3 linked regions of the Neodiprion lecontei genome follow. The protein of the gene in region 1 purifies or fractionates together with the protein of each later gene. This does not show direct contact. Links are inferred from orthologs where the notes say so. Each region holds a gene or a part of one and is shown in the gene's direction. Other genes may lie near its edges.

Region 1 (8,502 bases):
TAATTAAGAAATATTTCATGACTATTTCATATCGTTCTTCCAATCTTGACCTAAAATGATATAATATAAAAATAACTCTTTATTGTGGTCACTGAGCATTCCCTTTGTTTTCAATCGTTTCATCAAATAATTTGCGGTCTAATGAATCATATTTTACGCTCGAAAATTCTTCAGTAAATTAATAACTGTTAAATTAGTATACAAGCAGTACGCCGCGAGGATCAATTGTTGATAAATATGCAACGAAACGAAAAAACTAAATATCACTTCTAAAATGTTCGATGCTACGAGTTTTTTTACTGTATGTACGGGATGCGAATCATCGGTCATCCATGTCGCAGCGAACGTAAAATTTCAGACAGATAATTATGCATGGTTTATCAGATTACAAATATTAAAAATTAATTGTCTGATACTCACTTATTGTTATCTGAACTCTGATGGAATGTTAGACCGTAAGCAATTTGATGAGAAAAAGTATTATACACAATTTGTTAACATAGCAACATAAATGTTATGGTATAGTGTTCTACTAAGAATGATATACTTAGTTCTGTTTCTACAACTATTTAGTTGAAGTTAGAAAAATCTGTTTTTAATTTAATTGAAGGGGCAGTGTTGAGTTTAATTGCTTGTTTCACTGGCTCCGATAATCTTGATTGCTTTTGAACCTGCTGCTGGTGGCTGGATTTCACCGCGTTTTCGAGCTTTGTTTTCAACTCTGTAGATTGTGCCATCAACGTCTTAAATTCCTGCACAATATGCAATATTTTATGTGGACTATGCAATATTCGTACAATTCATTGCAGAAAAATTATAAGTATCAAACCTGAGGGTACTTTGGTCCTATTTTATTCAGCCATTGAAAACTCTGTTGATGGAGAGTGATTTGGAATTTGGATCCATGGCGCAAGGCATCACCTTCCAGTAGATAATTTATCAGAATAGGCACCAACAGAGTAAGCATTTGAATACCTGAAAATTGAAAAAAGTTCCCAATTATATTTTTTTTTATCCAATGACATGATACCATGTAGTTGGTTGGTGTGGATATTATTGAAAATAACTGATAGAACGAACACCCTGGAAATCGTCACCTACCTTGCATAAGATCTCCTGGTTTGCATGCAAAATTTAATTTATCAATACAAAGAACCATAATTGTGAAAGCAGTTACAATTTATTATCTACTCACGATTAGCAGGTTCAGCTAATGATATGAGTGCTTCAATCGTTGCTATGCTTTCTAATGTAAGAGTTAGCTGAGTTTCGTTTGATACTTGTTTGCTCGATTCACTGTACAGATATTCCACCAACCTTGGTGCGAGAGCGTGGATGTAGGGAGTACTGACACTGCGTTCATAGTGCATGAAGATTGTTCTCAATGTTTGTATGCACTTTAATTTAACCTTTAAGAAAGATACATTTTCTCATTCAATGATAAGGTACTAGGACGACCGGGCAAGAACGAAAGTTCGTACTCACCAGAGTATTTTCTGATTGAAGACACTGCCGAAAATGATTGATGCAAGGGTACTGTAAGTTCGGCGCACTCACAACCTCAGGGGATGCGTGGAGGACAAACACTGCAATCCCTAACATCATCGCAACTTCATCCATTTTCGTTTCATCACAACCTGCAATCCAATCATTATGAATGTACGTCGTAATGAGGTACGTACATGCAGTAACGATGATTTTAGATTTAATATGGCTTACCTGTTTTTGCAAGATCGACTATTTTAGCAAGAGCACTCTGAAGCAAAGTTTTCCACTGTTGTTCACTTCTTGCATCAGTTGCGTATTTATTGGTCATAAGACTCTTGAGACAATGCAGAGCCCCGTGCACAGGTGCTCCAGGTCCGACCCCAGAATTATCGTTATCTGTGCGAATCGCAGTCTCTCTAATTACCCCAGTTGTTAAATATAACAACGTGGGTAGAATCGCAATGGCACCTGTGAGACAATGCAGTTTAAGTATTCATCGCGTACATGTAAAACTTAAAATAAACCGAACTAAAGCTTGATAGCAAAATATGCACCTTATCAGCATGATTTAAAATATGTTCTTACGAACAAGTATTAACTTAACGTGATTGTTGAGAATTCTTTTTATTATAAATTATCGATGATATACATCGACACATCAAGTAATTTCAGGACCAACCTTGTGGAGAACAAAGCCTTGGAAGACCTTCCATCACATTCAGAGTGGCAGCAATGAGCCTGCCACATTCCTCCGATGCTGTATATCCCCGATGAGACAACACCGTTGTCGCACCACCTGGACTGGGATTCAACGCTGGTATTTGTCGTACGAGTAAGCACAAGCAAACTTCTAGTACAGCAAAAACTAAAGATTGTCCTGGAATAAGGTCACCAGTTTCCTGCCCTTCCCCCAGTTCATCGACCTCTGTGGTGTCTTTAGACTCTTGATTTGCAGGAACAAGTTCTGAAAGTGAACGAATTCTATGCGTTAGTAATAAAATAAATAATGTATTGAATCATTGATAAAAACGAGTTTCATGAACAACCTTTGAGTTTCGATTTTTTCCGATCTGCAAGGTCTTCTTGAGCAGCACGCATTACTTGTTTCAGTACTTCCATTACCATCATTTGAATGGTATAGCTTTCTCGCGTCAGTAGCAACCTGTATAGTTAGAATAAGATGAATAAAATTTTGTTGACCAGCGAAAGGCAACGTAGGATAATGAAAAATGAAATTAAAAATTGTTGATACATCGAATAAAATTAGCAATTTTCAGATTTTGTATTGGCTCTGTAACTTACCTGTGAAGAACATTGCAAAGCTCAATAGGAAGGGACCGATCAACCATAAGTACGTTGCGTGCCCATATAGAATCAAGTAAGGTGTAGAGAGCACTCAGACATGTCTCTACACTTTGGGTAGACTCCGAAGATCGAGGACTGCACAAAGCTTCCATGCATATACCTTGAAGCGAAATATGGAAGAATGTTCAATGCAATAATTTGTAAAATGAGATTTTTCATTGTGAGGTATGCAGAAAAAATCTTACCAAACAATAAATGGAATCGTTCGACATTAGATTCTGTATTGGTAGAGTCATTATTATTATTACGGCCAAGTTTATTCTTCGTATTAGTATCGACATTGGCAGGTTCTGGAGATTCGAAGCCTCTAGCATTCAGCCACAGTGTTGCTGCATGAAGTATTGGAGCCCAAGACTCAAGGTAATACGGACGAGCTGATTCCATTGTATCAGTTGTGTAAAAAGCTCCTCCATCGTGAGGAAGCTGACTTGAAAATTCTGAAACAATTAAGTTGCACCCTTGGTATCTTCTACTTTTTCTTTTTTCTGCATCAAAAGACTCTATAATCCACTTTTGAAAATAAAATGAAAAAGGAAACCTGAATGTATTCAATATTCAATCATCGGTTGAAAACTACAATACCGTCAGAGTCTGACGTACAGCCTGAGTGATTGACTTGGTCTCATTGTTAGCCACGGCGCTACGATCTGGAGCCGTATGAGCCAAGTTTTGTATTTTGCAAATGGCGGACACAGTAATCAATAGTACGTTTACGTGTGAAGTAGTACAGAGTACATTCGAGTGCACATTAGTGAAGAAAAAAATAGGATGGAAACAATTTTAGAGCAACAGCGTCGCTATCATGAAGAACGGGAGCGTCTCATGGACGCAATGGTCAAAGAAATGTTGCACAAGAAGCCGGGACATAGAGAAACGATAAATTCAGAACATCGGCTGAAAATGCTATTAGACCAACACATGGACAGCACAGCGCATTTGCAGGATCTCTACGAGGATAACGATGGCCAACGAAAGGACGAGGTCCAGGCTTTGTCGGGACCGAACGAGTTCTCCGAATTTTATTCGCGACTCAAGTCCATCAAGGAATTCTATCGGCGGCATCCGAACGAGATAAGCGTCCCGATGTCGGTAGAGTTCGAGGAGTTGGCTAAAATGCGAGAAAATCCAACAGAGGAACTCGCAAATCTCGTCGAATTTACCGACGAAGAGGGCTACGGGAAATACCTCGATCTTCACGAGTGCTACGAAAAGTATATAAACCTGAAAGGTATTGAAAAGGTCGATTACATAACCTATCTGTCGACTTTCGATCATTTATTTGACATTCCAAGAGAGCGTAAGAACGCAGAATATCGCAGATACGTCGAGGCGCTCCTGGAGTACTTGACCGAATATCTGACTAGGGTTCGTCCGCTCCTTGATCTCAATGCTGAAATCGAAACAGCCAATAGAGAATTCGTGGTACACTGGGAAAACAGCAGCTTTCCAGGGTGGCCAAAGGAGACCGGAAGTGCTCTAACTAACGTTGGGGCGCACTTAGAGCTCTCCGCCTTTTCCTCTTGGGAAGAACTCGCCTCGCTAGGTCTGGACAGATTAAAATCAGCCTTACTGGCGCTGGGTCTTAAGTGCGGTGGAACTTTGGAAGAGAGAGCGCAGAGGTTGTTTAGCACTAAGGGACAAGCCTCTCTAGATCCGAGTCTGCTGACCAAAAACAAACCGGGAAAACCAGGCAAAGGAAGAGACGTGGAAAAGCAGAAGGAGATCGCAATGCTCGAGGCTCAGGTGTATAGGCTTGCCGAGCTGGTATCTAGTCAGCGTGTCGCCACTAAAGAAAATGTTCAAAGAAAACAGGCGAGAACGGAGGGTGAGAGAGGTGATTCTGATGCAGATGCTAGTGCCAGCGAGTCGGAAGAAGAAGATGACAACGAAGTTCCGTATAATCCGAAAAATCTACCCCTCGGTTGGGATGGCAAGCCTATACCATACTGGTTGTACAAACTTCACGGTCTCAACATCAGCTACAATTGCGAAATTTGCGGAAACTTTACGTACAAGGGACCCAAAGCCTTCCAAAGGCATTTTGCAGAGTGGAGACACGCTCACGGTATGAGATGTTTGGGGATACCAAATACAGCGCATTTTGCCAACGTCACACAGATCGAGGACGCTCTAGCTCTGTGGGAAAAGCTCAAAGCACAAAAACAGTCGGAACGTTGGCAGCCGGAACAAGAAGAGGAGTTTGAAGACTCTCTAGGAAATGTTGTGAATCGGAAAACTTACGAGGATTTGAAACGCCAGGGTCTACTTTGAATTTGAACGCAATTAATGTAATAATTTGTACAGCATGTATCGCGCAGGCTTCATTTGTTTCATTCCATATTCTTGTATGCATGATTCTGTTATACTAATCAAACACATGTTTAAACACGAAGCTAAAGAAGAGATTCGTGTCTAGAATTAATAATTTTATAAATTCTAATGTGTATTTAAATATATTATCCTCAAACGAACGAGGTATAATATAGATTAAATATTATGCTGTAACAAATTCAACTACATATTCACCAATTCTCAAATGGATTTTGTGACCATATTTGTAAGAAAAGATGAACTATAAAGGACCTAATAAAAATGTATTTATAAATGAAATTCCGCAAATATCTAGCAGTTGTATTTCCAAAATTCATTTTTTATATGAGTGGGATAACTTACCAGGTGGTAGGGAGAGTAATGCATGATCGCGCAGGGCAGCTAACCAATGTTGACTCAGACTTAATAACTCTGGCTGAACTAAACTGAGTAAACTTTCATTCTGGAACTCAAATTCGCCAAAGCCTTCTTCTTCGTTTGCGGCAGTTGTATGAGCCTTATTTCTTGATGACGTCTCTACATTTCCAGGTGCTGAACCATCATTAATCATTGCCACCACATACACCTACAACATTGAATCAGAACACACGCGATGAATTTCTCACATGGCTTATTGCAATTATTGAATGATGTGGTGAATCATCTGTAACATGGAATTACGTATTTACCTCAGCCCAAGCCTTTAATATGGCCAGTTTTTCTAACGTAGAAAGGCTTTCATTGTATAATTGTTGATGAGAATGTCCGCCTCTTAATTTTTCCAACGACGATACAAGCAGTTGATGTACTCGGCGTAAATCATTGAGATCCCTTGCAACACCACTACCAATCCATGCGCTACAAGCTTCACAAGCTGCAGCGGTGACGTGAGATGCTGTTTCTGTAGAAAACGCTGGTCTCAAGGCAGCACCAACCTTTGTGATAAGATTATCGTTATTTGATCATGGGAATATAGACTGAGTAGTTTTTCGTGTTTTAAATTTTAGCAAAATAATCACCTGTGCTTGGAATTGTTCCAGAAGTAAGTGTCCAGGAAATTCTGGTTCCGGAACTTTGGCAAATTTATCAATTATTTCTTGTAAGGTCTTGAGACCTTCTAATCGCAAAGGATCACAATCACTGGTCGCAGCCATAAACGCCATACGCACTAGATCTGATAAGTGTAGTACTAGAAAATCTCCTGAAAGGTGAAAATTAAATTGTCAAATCACAAAATATGGGCCATAAGTATCCCAATCATTTTGATTGTGAAAGAAGAACAGGAAAGAAAAATCCAGGCGTGGTACATACCTCTTCCTCTGGTGAGCTGCATTTCCTTAGCTAAGGCCAGATCAAAGTGTGCCTGCTTGTTGACAAGACAAGCAGTGATAATCCGTCGTACACTCTGAGCAGCGAAAACTCTGGTCGGCCAACGTGGTGAGACAGCTGGACGTTGCCGTGTTGACTCTTCTGCGTGAAATTCGGCCTGATCATCATCACCTTCTGCTTCACCACCTTCATCATCCGCTGTACTATCTTCAGTTAGAACAGCAGTGACTTCTTCTGTTGTCGTACTCGACTCTAAAAATATGTTTCGTTACGTACATCTCTGAACACTATTTATTTCATTACTAATTTCCATGAGCTCGCTAATTGTAACAAGGAGTCGAAAATCATCACTCCTTACCTGAAGCTACCGTTAAAACATCTTTGCAAAGGGATAACCACTGTGATAGGTTGTCAGCAGCAAGCATTTGAAGCATACTGGTAAGAGTATCGTGGATATCTTTTATTAGTCGGCTGTCCGTTTCTGTATCTAGCATGCTGAATAAAACTCCTGGAAGACCTGTCTCCGTGATAACAAGACCCTCGACGATGTTCGTATCTCTGCTTTCATTGGCTAATGTCATCGCATGTTCACATACTTCTTTCGCCTCCCGTTGAGCAAGCTGACGAAGGCAAGATATTGCCGCTTTGCGAAGTAGAAGATGATTGCTTGACAAAGTGCGCTGCAATTAATGATTATCGATAAAATTGCTGATTTGTGACAAATTGATAGGTTTCCAAGTAACAACTTACACACAATGTGGGAACCAATGAGGACAAATTAACATGTCGTGGCGCAAATAGATGTAATTGTTGTAAACACCCTGTAGCTTCAGCTTGAACAAGCGGGTCCTGATGATCTTGCATTATTGCACAAGCGCATAAAAAGGATGACCGTGCCATACATATGGTCGATGTATTGCCTGTGAAATTGCAGTAGAGATGTGAGTTTGATTTAACTTATTTTCGTCGAGACTTAGCGAGTAGGCTAATATAGATGATACGAAAGACATACCTTGCAATTCTGGTCCAATGGTGGTAATAAGTGCAGACAGAACTTTGCCAATACATTGATGAACGTCAATGTAGGAATGTGGAACGTTGAGGAGGAGAGTTAATGCTAATGACAGCGTCGGTTCGACATAGCCTCGGAACATCGGGCCTCCAGAGTCGGCAATAAGTGCTAGCGCATGCAATGCCCAAACCTAAGTCGAAAGATGACGTTCTTAGAAATAGCTTGATGTGCAACCGGCAGCAGGTTTATTAGATGAAAAACGTACCTGTACAACAGGAGATGTATTGTCTTGGGCGAGAGCAAGCAGAATGCTGACACTTGTGTTCAAATGTTGACTAGAACCCATTCCTCCGACATATCTGTGCAGGCAACCAAGTGCCAGCGAATGACCCGTCCTACTAGCCACATCACGAGCCGATTTAAGTCGATCGAAACTGGTCTGTGCCAACTCTGCGGTGAATTTGGAGTCTGAAACAACTTGTGCCATTCGCCCGACTGCCTCACCAGCTGCGCAGCGCAGGATTGAATTGCTACTGACAAGTGCGCTCTAAAAAAGTTAACACCGTTTTCTAAATTGCGATACTTTGAAGGGATAGTTATTTTAGTGGACCAAGTGACTCACGATAATCAGATTGGTTGCAGATTTTTTTACATCTTCTTGGCCGAAACTAGTTTTTGCCTCATTAAGACCCTTTAATCCACTAAGAACGGCTGTAAAGACATTCATTTGTACCGCTTCTTGTCTGGCACTTTTAGCATGTTTAATACATTCGCTGAAGTGGTCCAACATTTGCAATCTGTGTTTGTTCGCTACGCGAGGAAATATTTGTCCAAATAATGAGACTGACATATCGATAACAGCAACACCTAGAGGAAGTGGTCCCGGTACTATTTCGCCCTGAGAATTATAATAAACATCATATAGCTCATTCATGCATAAAAAAATTCTCTTGATGTGTCAAATGAGATGTTCGCTGAGAGCAAACCAGACAGATTAA
Region 2 (8,368 bases), on another chromosome or scaffold:
CCGTCACTGCGTCATGCCCGCTTCAGCGCGCGGACCTCCTCGGGTACCCGATGCCAGTTGCCACTCCCTGCCGGTGCGCACCGAGTTAACTTTGCTATTAATAAATAACTTTGAAGCCCGTACACACATGGCTACGCAACCCACTACTTTCAGAAGCTGAAAGTTCGAACTTTGCATTTATCAAGCTGCACGCCGCCGCTGCCACTTATTTTTCGCTCCCGATTCACCCCTTCCAGAGACTCATTTACTTACAGACGAGACTTCCGCTTCGTTGCCGGAAAACTACTCGCTAAACTCGTACACTTGCGCGAATACCGTTACACATGCATATGCATACCATACGTGCTCGGGGATAGAGTCGCGCGATAGTTTTATTCGCGAGTTATACCTGTTTACGTGTATATGCACGCACTGCAGGGCATATAAGGATTTACAACACTTCCTTGAAGAAATATTACGACGGGCAGATACATTCATTCGCCTTATACTGTTCGAAGAAATACGGACGTTGCAGGAGGACCACTGGCGTTGAATCGCGTTACGTCAGCGGTCCCATCGGGTTTTGGTTTTGTCTGAAACGGATGGACGAGGCCTTCGCATAGTGCGGACGTTTCATTTCGTGGAACGGTATCTCGTTACGTAAATCGTAGAAGCGAAACTTGAGTACCTGAATTGTTCGCAGCCGGCGAGCCTCGATACTTCAATCATTATGTTTATTGTTTGCAGTTATATCCTTTGACACGAGCGCACTCGTTCATTCATCGATTCGTTCGCCCCTTCTCTTACTCCCCCAACCGCAACTTCCACAGGGACCAGGCATCACTGACACTTCCCGGTGCCATAGCGCGTGTGCAGCTCAGGATCCATACACACGGATCGCATAATGCGATAACAGCAAAAACTTGGAACGGCCGAACGAATTGCATGTGCGTGGAACAGCTGTAGCTATACGAGCGTGGCAGCGCTTGGGAACTTGTGTCCAAACGAAAACTATTTTCACCGAAGGATCTTACGACGTCTCATTGTCGGTCGAGTATTATTGAATGAATACTGTGTCCACAACTGTATATCATAAAGTGAATTTGTTGTAATGGTATGGATATAGATATATGTATATAGCTATGTCGGTATATCTTACAGGTATATATGCGAACAATGGTAGACGTTCTCGATAACGCAACAATATGGCTATGATAAGTGATAATCCTACGACGTATTTGTACGACGATAAATCAGAGTAAACATACGACCTTGAACGTGGAAGTACCTACATTGCCCACGATTCTCTTCTGGTTGCTATCAGTCATTCCTTCCACTATCGGAAGAATGAAATGGCAAAGGAAAATAAATGATCTTCTGCATAATCTGCAATCATGTGTATTATATGTTGCTGAGTAATAAAATTATGGTCTTAAAAATGCAATGAATTGATGGTTCGAGAATTTTTTAAGGCTTTCTTTATTTTGTGTTTTCTTCCTCCCTTTTAAAAATCAGATTGTCTCCAGAAAAATCTCATCGTCAATTTACAGACAGTAGGCGAGGTTTAGTTTGATTTAAATAAAAGTTTAATTTTCACTTCGCATGATCTGGAGTTATTGAGTGGCTGTACACATTGGTGACTGTTTCAGAGTCACGTACGCGTGCAACCCGTTGGCAATTTGAAATACAGGTTTTAGCTGGCTCTTAGTTCTATGATAAGTTAATGAGATGGTTGACCCATGTTCCAACGACTAGTCGTCGTAGTTTTTCTCGTTAAAAATGCTTTCATTGGTTTTAATATGTTACGACAGTTTTATAACCGTAATCAGCTATAGGGCTTGCGTATAAAAACGACCCCCCATTAAGAAGGGGAGATCAAAGTTAGAATATAATTATATCGATGTCCAAGTATCTTCCCATGCATGTATGAACGTAGTTATTACAGGACAAGAGTAACGTAAGTGGGAGAGTAAATTCCTGTGGTTTAATCAAAACACTAGAGATCTGTACGTTACTTATTTCGGACTGGCTAGAAAAAGGCACTTGTTCAATTAGATTTTGATACATTTAATGCATTCAGCGAGTATCGCATAGCGCGTTGGTTTCACTTTTCCAAATTGAACGTTAAAAATTTGGGGTGATCATTATCAACATTACGACTACAAAATTACCTGAAATTCTGTACAAGCAATTGCAGCGTAGCGTCATCCGGCGGATGATATTCACACGAAGGTACCCCAGACCACAGAGTTGATAGAGAGAGCCTACTCTAGCGTTTTGTGTGGCCTCCATTTTTAAGCGTCATCCGACACAAACTAGGTTTTTGAAACTACATTTCGACGTAGTTGCATGTTACCGACTCGTATTCTACTATACTTGCCATCACGCAAGCGGTAGATGTAAAGAGCCTCTTTGCTCGGAAGCTTCGGAACCTTCGGAAGCAAGTCTTGATCGGCCGGAAGCGCCATGCGAACTTCGCGCAACGCGACCGAATTTGTTGAATTTCCGGAGCAAGTTGCGTCAGGCGCACGATCCAAGAAAGACTTACATCGTGGTCAGGCGTGAATATGAATTCTCTGACAACTTTTCGCCGAATACGATGTGTCTAAAAATAAACGATAAATGAGAAAGAAATGGCAAACCTTGTCTTTTCTCACTGTACGAACTTTGGATTGAAACTAATAAGATAATGTTAACGATAACGCATCTGTACATAATTTGATATGTAAGCAGTGGTGTTCGTAAATGTAGATGTTGTAATTTTTGCGGAGCGATAGTTACTTTTTGGAACGATTTTATGAATATATTGGTTAAAGAAGTACCTAACTTTATCAAAGGAATGAATCGTTATTGCTACCTAGATTCAGTCCTTCGAGGTCGATGTATTAGTAGATGATAGATAAGATTTTACACTAAATTATGAGCTTACAAAGATTGTATATTATTTCTTCCTGCTGCAGAAATACTAAGTGATAATGTTTGCGATTTGTTCAGTTTCGTTACCACTACTGTGACACTCTGCTATGGTAAATATGCCCTGCCTTATCCACTGCTCAGATGATGCTAAATACGGCAGAGTCGGTCATCAGTATATGTGGCGCCCTGTATTTATCGACTTGCTTTATCTGGTAAGGGCTGGTAAACGCATCGATATGCACGATTCCATTCAGTTATATTCAATGGTTGTTCTTGCAAGAACTGTGAATCGTGCTACAGACTAGTGCAGACTGAATGATTGAAGGTTATATTTGACATGTCAACAACATCCACGTTGAAATAGTACAAAAATGTCATTGTACGATGATTTTGATAAGCACCGAACAACAGAAAAAGTCGCAGGGTGGTCATCGGGTATTAAACTATTACAGTCCCAGCTGCAATTAAAAAAAGCGGCAACTACACAGGTAATATTTCACTTAACCGCTACTTTGTAAGTACATTCAATAATTCAAAACGTTTTACCGTTATCGAAAACTTTCGAAAATTTCGTTTCAAAAAAACATTTCAGTTTCAAGATTTATTTATTCCGTGCCGGGAATATGAAAATAAAACATTCGCATTTACTTCTAAATTGAAGACTAATATCAAGAACAATTTTTTATAGCCAAAAAGAGAACAGTTCAGAAAAGCTGCGGCAGTTTTGGCACCTGTGATTGACTTGAAATCAAAGGTTAACCGCGATGGCGAGAAAGACGAAGATTCACAAACAGGAAATTCTCTTACCCTTAGTGGTACAAATAATGTCGGAGTCGGAGGCGAGTTTGATTGGAACGTAGTAAATGAATATGACCCAATGTGGCCAAACGAGTACGAAAAAGTCGTCAAGGAATTACGTGATATTCGGGACAGAGAACACGACCAGGAAAATGAATTACGCAAACGCAGACGCGACACTACCAGATTTGAAGATCCACAGGTATGGGAATCGAGTTTTTCAATTTTCATTGTTTTACTGGTATCGCTAAGTCGTTGGATTTTTGTTTCAAATAAGCAATATTGTGGCTGGCAATTTTATATGTCAAAGTTAGAAAGCTCTTTCTTCTCTATTGTCGTCTTAACTGAATACTAGTTTAGATCATGAAGAATATCCAACATATTTAAGCAGTTTGTGTACAGATTGTTCCAAGCCATTGAATGTAACAACAATCATGCTTTCTTCAATATACATAATTAAATGATCCCAATTTAGACTTCCCCTGGCAGCAACACAATGGTCGCACCAGAAAGAGACGAGGAAAGAACACCAACTTCGAGAGGAGTGGGCGGTGGCGCAGCTATAGCACCTCCCCCATCCCTTCAAGAGGCACCAGATCTAGCACCTCCTCCACCTCCAGCACGACCTCAGGCATCGAATCTTGGCTACGGTGCTTCCTCCGTAGCTGCAAAGATCATGGCAAAATATGGCTTCAAAGAAGGCCAGGGTCTTGGTAAAAAGGAACAGGGAATGTCTGTTGCTTTACAAGTAGAAAAAACCAGCAAACGTGGTGGTAGGATAGTTGGCGAAAGAGAACAATTGATGCCTCCTCCACCACCCATGGTACCTTCGCCACCACTACCTGTCGCCCCTGTTCCACAACCTGTGGTTCCTCAGGAGGAGCCAAGCATTACAGAGATTATGAAATCACCAAGCAAGGTTATTATAGTAGTGCCATGCGTAGAAGTCTGCGCAAAATTATTTGCCTTTAGTACAGGTCTATTTTGTTTCTCTTTAGTTAAATGACATGATCTTAAACAGGCATACGAATCTCAAACCTTGTTCAACTGGCTGTGAAATTTCACCATGCCCGTTTTGCTTTTTACGTTTCCCACTAAGTCTGGGTATATGAGTATTATCAGTCATGTGAATTTTTTTTTCAAAAGGTGGTACTCTTACGAAATATGGTTGGACCAGGTGAGGTGGATGAAGATCTTGAGCCAGAAGTCAAGGACGAGTGTAACACAAAGTATGGGGATGTATCGCGTGTTATGATTCACGAGGTGATGGACGTCCCGGCTGAAGAGGCAGTGCGTATATTTGTAGAGTTTAAGAGGATAGAAAGTGCGATCAAAGCTGTAGTAGACTTAAACGGTCGCTTCTTTGGCGGAAGACAAGTTAGAGCTGGATTTTATTCCTGTGAAAAATTGGACACCTTGCAATTGATGGACTAAACTTGAAATACATGAATTTTTTTTAAATGTGCGCCGTTGGTGAATAATAAAATACTGTCAATTAAAATTGAGTTGAATCATTTTCATCGTAATTGCTACCTGTTTATTCGGCTGATGATTATTGCACTGCATTTAACAGTAGGTTTTAGCAATCGTGGTTTCTTATCGTAGACTTCCAATTTTGGTTGTTTGGATTGATAGGCAATTGTAATTTTGAATCATACGAAATACACGAATATTTCGATTTGAGTTTCTACTTATCTATTATGTTAAATTCATACAGGGTAATTTCATCACGAAATATACAGACGTTCATGATTTTCTCTACATTCGAAGGCCGTGAGATTGATTAGTGAGTAAAAATACCCTAAACATGATGTGTATATAGGCATTTTCATTACTACAGATTTCTTTAATGGGGTGATAATCATTGTATTTAGTTTTGGAATGCAAATCCAAATTATAAAATGCAGTTGATCAGAAGTTAGTTAGTTCAAACATATTGTAACGCTTTTATTCTTCATACATAATCGCAGTTAATAATTGTTTGTAAAATAATGTATTTGATATACTTCCCTGTAACTGGGGTAATTCAAGCACAGTTTTCGTTGGTGAGCGTCGTGATATGTAGGAACAGATCGTTTGAAATATAGAATTATGCTGTTACAGCCATAGCTTCGATAACATCAATGAGATGCTATGCACAACCTAGAGGTGGACTATTCAGTCGTGAACACACTTCTTTAAGTAGATTTTTTAGAATGGCTGCCTGATTACTCGAGTCCTTGAAAAAAAATATACAAGATGGATGACAGATAAAGGATGATCAGGAAATTGTACTGACACCGATATCAACAAAGATTATGCATGAAATTTAATAATTCTTAGATTGCATAATCTTAGATAAAAACTATTTCTAAGATACTTATCTTACCTTGTCGAGCGTAATAGTGGGTATGAATACCACTTTGGGAGACAAGTCATCTGTCATTTCCCCAAACTTGGCCAATAGCTCTTTCCCTTTTGTCCCCTTATAACATTTCTCTATAGGTGTGACATCTAGGTTAACCTTGGCAGCACATTGATGCATAACTCGTTCAGGTTGCATGTTGTCTTGGATCATGCAAGAAATATAATCGAGCTGTATTAACTGATCATTGACTAGATCAATAACACAGGCATGTATGATATTTGCCTCACACTCGAGTGGCCCATGTTGGCACGTAAATTCGTACCCAGTGGGAGTTTCGACTGTCTGAAAGAGGAAAGAATTAAAACTTGAATAATCAAAAGATTGAATTCTAACATATGGGGATAAGCAGAATAGCCCGACTTACCTTGGCTTTGCCATATGGTATGAGTTCTACCTGCAGGTTCTCCTTTATCTTTTGAAATGTTGGCAATAGCTGTTTGACTACAAAAAATTTTGAATCTGGACAAAGGGCTTCATAATACACGGAGACCAGCACCTTCTGTACATCCGTCTTTGGCGGCTCGGCTATATCTATTCCTTCGACTAGCTCTTGGGCCGCCAGTGATTTTGCTGCAGAAGACTTAATGCGTGTTCAAGCAGGTTTAAGCAAAACAAAATCTTTAACTATGATTTCAAGATTCACTAAAATCAACAAGAGGTAAAAAACCTCATCTGAGAAAGTTGGCTGGTGGTGGTTTAACCATTTAACTATGTTCAATACTAAAATTGGGGCTCGAATTGCCAAGCGTTGCTTTGCATGAACCCTAGTTTATGCTCGGTTCGAATAGGTAAGGTTATGTTCCAGTAGTGCTTACCTGGGAAGGATCATCGCTGAATTGGAGAGACGGCCAATATTTGGCTGACTGGTACAAAACGAGAGCAGTGCAAAGTAATATTATTAGACGGTATCGAAAGCTTCCGAGTCCCATTTTAAATAATAATAAAAGAAACACTTTCTACTGCGATAGACAAAGCGGTCACATACGCAAACTTGGAATGACGGGATTGTTTATTTAATTAATTTTACACAGAGATAAAGTTAGCTTCTCATATTTAATACGGCTGAGCTTGTATTAGTTAATCTTGCGTCGCATGTTTAATCGAAACCTTATGGTTTCGCAAACTCATTGCGTACGCAAGGGTTTATTTCGAAACCAATATGGCGGCGTCGATTTCGATATCTACCGATAATCGATATCACCCTTGTTGATGCAATCTAATAGTACGATTGGCGTGATAATATATCATATATTTAATTCACCAATACAAACACTCGCTCCATACTTTGATTAACTCAGTTTTGTATCAAGTTTGAGTCTGCTTGAATGCCTATTGAAATGAAATGAAAATTACCCAAGTATGACCGTTATCTATTTGCGCAGGAAATATTATCTTAGTAATTATATGCTAATCACTTGTTTCTATTAGACTATTGCATATTGTTTTCCTCCGTAATTCACGACCAAACATGTAACGAAATTAGGAAATGTGAAAAATATAAAAAATTATAAATTCATAGCTAAATTCTACTGCAATTTTAAATATCCGTTTCAGTCGTTTGCTTCTCGCATAATCATTACAAGACAATGGCACCTAAGGAAGACAAAAATCAGGATAAGAATAAAAAAGACGTAGATAAAGGCAAAAAGAAAACGGGGAAAGGAAAAGACAAAGATGTTAAAAGAAAAAGATGCGGGCCGTAAGTGCGCGCCCATCTACCTTTTACTAAGGAATTAAGTCGTTGAGACGTTGAAATATGGATACAAAATTTTAAACTAAATTTTCCATAACTCCGATCTTATCGGCGTTATTTTTCCTCATTCTCAGACCAATGTCTACCGGTACGGTTATGGCACAGAGAGTTTTACCACCAACGGTTTGTTGTCCACCCGCCGGATGCGCACCCAGAGGTTGTCTCTCAGGTCCAGGTTGCGGAAGATGTTAAATTTATTTGACAAGAATGATTCATGGCACGATTTGGCTTCGTGTCAATTATGCACCTGAACTGGGTGAAAGAATCTGCTACAAATATGAAAGATTAAATATTGTAAAACTAATAAAACTTGTAACCACAATTCAATCCTGCACGTTCTTGCTTAAGAATCATTGGTAGTCCGCGGTTTCTTATTTAAACATTCATGCTTCCATATTAATTACATATTATGCACATCGTGATATTACACCGCCTGTATTTTTATTCCTTGATTATATAAGGTACTTAATCCCGACAAGCAGATACTCAAAAATATGACGTAGACAATGGTATCT
Region 3 (8,185 bases), on another chromosome or scaffold:
TAATTTCACAAGAAATTACTGAATAAAGTTTAGTTCAGCGTTTTTATCCCCGCTTGAAACGATACTAACCAGTGAGAATCATCCTGACTTACGATGTGAAGTATATCCCCTTTGACAAAATCTAATCCTGCTTCTTTGCAAGGTATGTAAGGATCGTCCGCGGCAGTGTACGAAAAATGTGCCTGAACACGAACCTGTGAAAGTGGTTGTTAGGAAGTTTCATCCTTTTTTCAAACATACCTATTGTAATTATAATTTTACAAGGTTTCTCGATGTTACCTTGCTTTCTCTGACGCCGCACCTGCTACTCGCTGGAATAAGTTTGAATGTTACTGTGCCCTCAAAATCGTCCTAAAACATCATATCAAAATGGTGAATAATGCACTTTTTCACCAAAAAACGATTTTCAATGGAGTAAAAATCTGCTTACGAGAATTTTCAGTACACAAGCCGGTGTCTTTCCTTCAACGCTGATACCGTTCACCTCAAGAACCTCGTCGCCGACATGAATAGCCCCAGATCTGTCTGCCGGGCCACCTAGAAGAATTCGCGCGAAGACTATCTTGTCGGTTCCTTCGCAAGTCTTTATCGTTGCTCCCTGTTAGTAAATGGGAACTGATATATAGGTTTATTTCGTCAGAAGTTGAATTTGGTTACCGTAGTTATGGTTTTTTTGATCGATTATGCTTTTCTGTCTTAATATTCAAGCATAGCATTTGAGCAGAAAGTGTAGACAAAAACAATAAAAAAACAAATCATGAAACTCAATCATGTGCTCGGGAACAAGAGCATTATGTAGTAGACAGCTACTATTTCTGTCGACAGTGCAGTTTATAGCACAGCATAGCGGAATCAGAGAACTTGACTCATCGGTTGAAGCGCGAGTATTTAGTGACCGTGCAATATTTTTTAAACAATCTTTACAGGGTTCAACTTTGCTCGGTTATGGTATAACTATTGGGGGTAACTAATGATACTTGGCACCAAAATGGTCGGGAATCGAATTTAGTAGGGAAATAGGAAAGTTGGCTAATTCATATTTCAATGCATAGAGAGAAAGGATGTGATTCTTCATCATTATTGTTCTTTGCTTTTTTTTTTTTTTTTCTTTCACGTTTTGCCAATGAAAGTAACCAATCTTCAAAGCCCGATGAGAAACTTACCACAATTGGTTCAACACCAGGACCGCACTTCAAAGCAAGTTTGTCAATTATAAAAGAAATTCGTTAATACAATTGGCCTTTCGATGATTCTTATTTATCTTGGGAAGGGGAAAAAAGCCAATGCTTCGCCGTAACTCTAGTAATCTTGTTGTCCCTCTATGCTGTCTCTTAAAACCAAATTAATCCTAGAAAATTTGATGTGATCGGTAAGACGTACCAAGGGCTCGTTGGACTTAATAAGCTCCACAATTTTTATGATTTCATCATCTTCGTCAACTTCCAGGGGTAGTTCAGGAATTTTTGGGTAGTATTCCTTTTTCGCAACTGCGTCATGAGTGCATAGCAGAGCCTGAAAATCCAAGGGTGTGAATGGATTTAACTTTTTTTCTTTTTGTCGCTTGTTCGAAATGAGTGCCGTGAATAAGTTTGTTTCATCCGTGAAAGTTCGTTTAATTGTTCCAAGCATGATACTTGATATTTGTAAAAGAAGGATATATATCGAAATTGAATTGCTATCATCTCTTTCCTCCCTAAATTAAATTATTATTGCAGAATGAAAAGATTTTTCATTTGAAATTTCTCCTTGTATTTTTTAATTTCATTGATTTCCTTCTCTTACCTGCATATGACGGTTCTGTAATAAAAGAAATAGTTGCTTGCAATCTGCGGATCCACGTGTTTTTGGCACAAGTACATCCAAAACGTCGATGTTGACGTCCATGGAGTTTGATAATACAGGAAAGAATTTGTCATCATTGGAGAGATTTATGATCTTGTTGTGAACGTTAACCAACGCGTTAAGCTCCTTCGACTTTAATATTTCACTGAGAAAATTAAGCTCCTCCTCGCTGCAACTTGGGAGTTCAGTCTTATTATCTTCCAGTGAATTGAGAAGCTTTGATAAGGCTGAAAATGAAATGAAAAACCTAAAATTTAATACCATACAGCATGAGTACCTGTACAGAGAAATAGAAATAGGAGATAAGCATAAAAACTGTGTATAACCGAGCTTCAAGACTATTCTATAAATAGTTATTGTCTATTTACAAGTTTGATGTAAGGACTCGAGAACCTGTCCAGCTTGAAAGATCAACAAGATTTCACAGCTTTGCTTACTTCTAGTTTAGAACGAACGGTTTAAAATGTCAATAGAATTGATTTGAAAAGTCCTACCCAATTGAGACAATTACTTACGAGAGAATTTCAATTAAAAATCTATATACAAATAAAACTGACTAATGTAGCGCAGATATTTTTCATTGACTTTCGGTGATTCTTTACATGAAAATTGCATACCGTGGTGAAAATATTCAATTCTTCAACACATTTTCAGCCAATGTCGTGAAACCAGAACAAATTATCAAGGGGTAGAAATAACGAAATAATTTAAAGACTCACCTGCATCCCAATTAGAATTATCCATTACGGGACTTGCGACCCGTCATTCACCCCGAAATCGTTCGCGCAATAAAGAGGGCAGGATTGAGAAATGATACAAAATTTACTACGGTCGAATATCACCCTATTCCTTCCCTCCGAGTTGAAGCCTTACTACTTTTTTCTCACGTACATAATACGTACGCGTAAATACGCGCGATGTCCAAAAATACGCACACGACCGACACTTCGCACTGTGCTCTAACATGCCAAATAATGCCAAACTGCAGTCAGCGAACGCGCTACGAGGAAGCTAATTCTGGTACTTGGATTGGTAAATTCGTGCATCCGAGGATTGCAGCTGTCTGAATTATTCCCTCTAATCTGATTGTCACTGGTCACTGCGGATCCATCAGCGAATATATTCTGAATTTGGGTGCGAGGGGGTGAGTGAGTGAGTCTGCGTTGACTGAAGAATTTAAATCTGTTACCCTTGGATAAATTTTTGTGACCAATACTCAGCAAGTGGAATTGGAGTGATCTGAAGCTTCTTTATCGGCGGAGGCCTTTTATCACATAATCACATAAGTACACAAAATCTTGTTAGCATAGCCGTCCAGTCTTCAGTCAATAGTCTATGACAATTTATGAGTGCGTTCCAAAACTAACTGGCAGCGCTGAAAACTCCCTAGGACTAAAACCAGCTACGAACTCTATAGCGAAAAACGACGTAAGATAGTTGACAGCACCGGGGGCTGATTTCGAAACGCATGATGTGGATTACCGAATGTGTCTAAATGAGAGAGAGCATAAACGAAATAGAAGACTTGTGCTTTCAGTTCTCTCTCTCTCGCTCTCTCTGATAGTTTGATTATTTGTGTGAAATACGGGAATATAACGTTTGTCTCAATTCCATCTACGTTTCGTTTAATCTTTCATTTCAATAATCATAGCAAGTTTAAATTTCAAATTCCTTGTATTTGCGTTTGAAAATGTACCCTCTAGTGGCGGGTGAAGGTACCGATGTTGAAAATTAATTTGATACCGATACATCCGTTTTCGGTAAGGTCGGCCTTTTTGAAAAGTTGCAAGTTGATATTGACAAAATAATTTAAGTATTCTGAGGTATCCGAAGGACGCTAATCATTCCAAAGCATGGCTAAGCATCATCCAGATTTGATATTTTGTAGGAAACAGCCGGGCGTTGGTAAGTTGTTTGAAAAATAGCGTAAGACTTGATCGCAATGCTGATCATTACTATCTCCGCTCGTTTCGAGATTTTATGACTTATTTCATTGCTAATAATAGCTCGTGAAACACGTATGGCTACTGGTATTATCGTTTTCGAAACTGCGACCTTGAAAATATTACTTCATGGTTCATTCTGCCGATTCTACAAGTTGACATAACCTAACATCACCCTAGCCAACCTGGCTTCACCTGTGAATAATTTTCTACAAACAATTTGAATTTTCCGTCTCCAGCTATTGGTCGATTATGTGAAAAGTGTGATGGAAAATGTGTAATCTGCGACTCGTATGTGAGGCCTTGTACACTGGTACGAATTTGTGACGAATGTAATTACGGATCTTACCAAGGCCGTTGCGTTATCTGCGGAGGACCCGGTGTATCTGATGCATATTACTGCAAAGAATGTACAATTCAAGAAAAAGATGTACGTAAGATCGTTATCATAGATTCAAATTGGCGACGCTGAAAATGCTAATTCTTTAAATATTTACGACAGAGAGACGGGTGCCCGAAAATTGTAAACCTGGGAAGTTCGAAAACGGATCTATTCTACGAAAGGAAAAAGTATGGATTTAAACGACGATAGATGTAATTATGTGTATAAGTATAGACTACAACATCTCGGTATCTGTAAGTTATGATGTGTGAAATGAGAATGAATGAGGATGGAACATTGCGTTCTGTGTTTTTATAATAAACGGTTGAATTATATTCGTACATCTGTATTTCGTCTTTATTCTTATTTATGACGAGGCAACGACAGGCAAAATCATTGGACCGATTCCTAATTACATTTCCTGTCCGTCGATCCCCTGCAGAGATTTGGATTTAGACAAGGGATAATTGGAAAATGAAAGTTGATCGTGAAAAGTTATATTTGATTTTTATTTAAATATAGCTCTATTCATTTGTCATCAACATTATTCTACGAATGAATTATGTTTTCCTAATTTTTTTTACAATTTGTTTTCGTCCTTTTACGTTATATTTGCACACAACGTACTTTAAAGTTTTTGAATACGTTTAAAACCACATATCTAAAGAAATAGTGTTAGAAGAATAATGCACGCAGATCAAACAATCTTTATTAACACAGACGTTACATTTTGGCACGCAATTTTGAGGGCACGATTTTTGCTAAAGAAAAACTTGTCTTTCACCGTTTCACAAGTATTATATATGAGAGAACTTCTGCAAAGAGGTTTTTCCAAAAGACTGTACTTACATTTGCAAAAAGCCATGTTTTTTAGAAATACATAACTGTTTAAAAAGACTGCATAAAATATTCAAATTTTCAATTCTCTAGGCGATTCCACTTGCATTACTCTTCTGCTACAGTGTCTGACTTAGCGTATGACTATTACAATCCAATAGTTTATTTAGTAACAATTTCAGTTACCTGTACCAATTATTAAACATTTTCTAACAGTTTTACTAACATTGTTGAAAGTCATATGTGTCGTATTATATTTGTATTCGTCAGGCTATTTAACTGAGAATATGAACACTTTTATTCTAATCTTTGTTCGATAAATATCAATCGAAACTTTGAAACCAATACCGATTATTTCTACCCTTATACTTAGGGAAATATGTAAGTTTAATAATAAAGCTGTTGAAATTCATTTCATATCGTTGATTCAATTCACTTTAACTTGGGCACAAACTTATTTGGTAAAATATTACCCTATTTGGCCAATATTCAATACTGTTGAGCTGCATTAGTTATTTCTTATCAAGTCATTTTCTAGTAGACGGTATTGTCAGTAAAATTATTAGAGAAGAGAATTAAAGTTTTTACAATGATAAACCACGAGTGATAGACCAACTACTTGCAATTCATAACCTACTGAAAATTCGATATAACTTTGATCGACTATTTTTTTTTCTCTTTTTTGGTATACATATATACCTATATATATATTTTTCTTTACTTTAAACACTAATCAATTAATCTATCATCGCTAACATGCATGAGATGGTTAGTTTTCAGTATTGTACTTCTCAGCTGTAATTTATGATTAACAACCGACGTGATCATCGGTTATTATCATTGTAATAATCGCTCTTTTTACTATTCACAAATTCACTATTCTACATGTTAAAGATCGATGGGTGCCGCGTAAGCTAATTCTTAGCAATACACAAAGCCATTCGATTGGTCATACGATATACTTATCAAAAAATTTGATTAATCGTAAAGAGCAAATACTTGAAATCTTTTCTCTGTATTTAAACATCATTGCAGCTATTGAATTTTACTTCTGAGGACAGTAAGACGTAAGCAATATTACCCTACGTCTGTACTTGTTTACATATAAACTTTACGCTAATGACAAATATGAGATTCTAAAATCCAATATTTTTTAGGATCCTAACATTTATATTTAGTTCTTATTAAACTGACCGTGAAATTGGCCAAGTGTTAATTTAATTCAATATCCCTCATATTAAGAGTATTAAACTTATTAGAAAGGAAAAAAGAAAATTCACGCTATTGGACGATTGCGATGAAGAAAAAAAAAAAGAAAAATAATCTTACAAGCGAACTAATTTTAATAATCTACATATTTTAACGCCAAGCGATACATTTTTATGTTTACTTGATGGGGTTTTTTCTACACCAGCACCATTAGTAATTGTTTCTACAACAATTAATAAAAGACGATAAAATTATAATTACAGGACTTTTCTACATTGAAATGCTATTATTTCGTATTATAACATCGACATCAATCTCATTGTGTAAGCATAACGTCTGGACGGGGCGGGAGGGCCATAGGTTCCTACCAAAATTTATTCCAAAACAGAATTCATTCTCTCGAAATTAATTCTTTAGTCTGAAATTATGCATTACAAAATTCGTGTCAATTCCTAAGCTACATAATCTTTTTTTTAAACATATCTTCGATTATTGTGATCAGTTTTCAATTGATTGTTTCATAGCATGTATGTTGTACATGAAATTCGATAATTATTTTGATCATTGTATTTAGGCAATATTGTAAATCGTTTTTCTTTCTTTTTTTTTTTTTTTTTGTTTTTTGGTTATTTGTTTTCTGCCTCTTTGTACATGTGTTGCATTTTTGTGAAATGTTGTTACATTGAGTTTGTTCATATCTTTACTATTGCGAGGTATCGACATACGTGAAACATTTATTGGATACGGTTTTTCAATTTTTAGTATTTTTTTTTTCCATCTCATCCTCGTTACTCCATTATTGCTTGATACTGAATAATTATATCAATTCACCCGTGTCATTTATAGGACATTATTATGTGTGTGTTTTTCCTTATAGTCCAGTATTTATTGGCTCAAAAGTAGGTCTGTATTCTTATCACTTATTCTATAATATTGCTTCAATATTAATTGATTATAGCAAGTCTGTGTATATTTACATACAAATTACTGTAGTCGCAGCGTGGGGGAAGTGTAAATAATTTTTTTTTTCACTTCCGACCAAATTTCGTCGTGTGTTACATATATCTTTTGTAAATTTTATTACAACAACCCCAATTTCGTACTACTGAATTTAAAATATTTATTTAGATATATCATTATATCACCAAGTTATTATTCCTCTTTTGCACAGTAAACAGAACGATTCTGCACTATTTGTTAATAACTCTGCCTGAACGTTAAAATCTCGAAAACGGGAGAAAAACGAACATAAATAAAACATTTCTGCGAATTGATGATTAGAGATTTGAATATAGGTACTATACTCGTTTTTTTTTCTTTTTTTTTTTAGCTAGCTGCACTTCAGTCTATCTAATTACATCTAACGCCAAACAAGTCTAAAATTTCTTTGAAAAGACTGTTTCACTCCGATAATATTAGGTAATACATAAAGATAAAAACAAAAAAGAAAAGAAAAAAATATATAACAGAAAAGTTTACAAAACACTATTCACAGATCTAGATTTGTAAATCGTATTTTCACTAGAAATATCCTTCATTCTTGATGTATCGTACGTAACTTCAAATTTGTTGCAAAAAAAAAAAAAAATTATAATTTAATCAGCTTCCTGACTGTTTTCATATATTGTTCTAAGGTGAATCCACGTAGCAATTAATTCTGCTAGTCGACTTTAAGCTATTAAGTAGTTTACATCGGATTGTTCAGGCGTCATCGTCAAGTGGTACGTGGCTACAATCTTCAGCAATTATTGTCTCTCATCTGGACAAAGATGAACTAGCGATGGATTTTCCGCTAATTGCTGACTGCAAACTCATCATCGAGCCTCTGTTTAGACATAAATAAAAATGAAAATTGCAAAGCTAAAATCTGGTACATGTATCGTAATAACGCAGTTTTCTGGATAAACAGAAAGAAAAAGTGAAAAACTTGTTTCCACTTTCTTGTATTGAATTTGAGATGAAGCAAGTTTTA

What was found. Proteins that work in one complex are often made in the same cells at the same time.
Region 2: the proteins of splicing factor 3A subunit 3 (region 1) and splicing factor 45 purify together in Homo sapiens (affinity purification with mass spectrometry; 4 studies listed by BioGRID and IntAct, counting the BioPlex papers as one, with this or other methods). This does not show direct contact. The link is inferred for Neodiprion lecontei from reciprocal best matches to the Homo sapiens genes SF3A3 and RBM17.
Region 3: the proteins of splicing factor 3A subunit 3 (region 1) and PHD finger-like domain-containing protein 5A purify together in Homo sapiens (affinity purification with mass spectrometry; 3 studies listed by BioGRID and IntAct, with this or other methods). This does not show direct contact. The link is inferred for Neodiprion lecontei from reciprocal best matches to the Homo sapiens genes SF3A3 and PHF5A.

The regions. Positions count from the first base shown.
Region 1 is NC_060263.1:30,615,196-30,623,697, forward strand, and holds splicing factor 3A subunit 3, read left to right. Parts: upstream 1-3,526; 5' UTR 3,527-3,621; coding exon 3,622-5,124; 3' UTR 5,125-5,463; downstream 5,464-8,502. Other genes in the region: HEAT repeat-containing protein 5B, read right to left, coding at 570-752, 830-975, 1,102-1,116, 1,196-1,409, 1,486-1,637, 1,720-1,956, 2,168-2,452, 2,535-2,650 and 11 more. UniProt on the Homo sapiens protein: Component of the 17S U2 SnRNP complex of the spliceosome, a large ribonucleoprotein complex that removes introns from transcribed pre-mRNAs.
Region 2 is NC_060260.1:29,030,123-29,038,490, forward strand, and holds splicing factor 45, read left to right. Parts: upstream 1-3,122; 5' UTR 3,123-3,266; coding exon 3,267-3,383; intron 3,384-3,583; coding exon 3,584-3,895; intron 3,896-4,168; coding exon 4,169-4,612; intron 4,613-4,839; coding exon 4,840-5,127; 3' UTR 5,128-5,194; downstream 5,195-8,368. Other genes in the region: gamma-interferon-inducible lysosomal thiol reductase, read right to left, coding at 5,825-5,911, 6,062-6,382, 6,465-6,680, 6,916-7,029. UniProt on the Homo sapiens protein: Splice factor that binds to the single-stranded 3'AG at the exon/intron border and promotes its utilization in the second catalytic step. Involved in the regulation of alternative splicing and the utilization of cryptic splice sites.
Region 3 is NC_060261.1:2,318,686-2,326,870, forward strand, and holds PHD finger-like domain-containing protein 5A, read left to right. Parts: upstream 1-3,448; 5' UTR 3,449-3,695; coding exon 3,696-3,747; intron 3,748-4,024; coding exon 4,025-4,215; intron 4,216-4,287; coding exon 4,288-4,377; 3' UTR 4,378-5,011; downstream 5,012-8,185. Other genes in the region: MAGUK p55 subfamily member 7, read right to left, coding at 70-194, 280-351, 431-598, 1,164-1,190, 1,381-1,512, 1,783-2,069, 2,562-2,586; protein real-time, read right to left, coding at 7,969-8,038.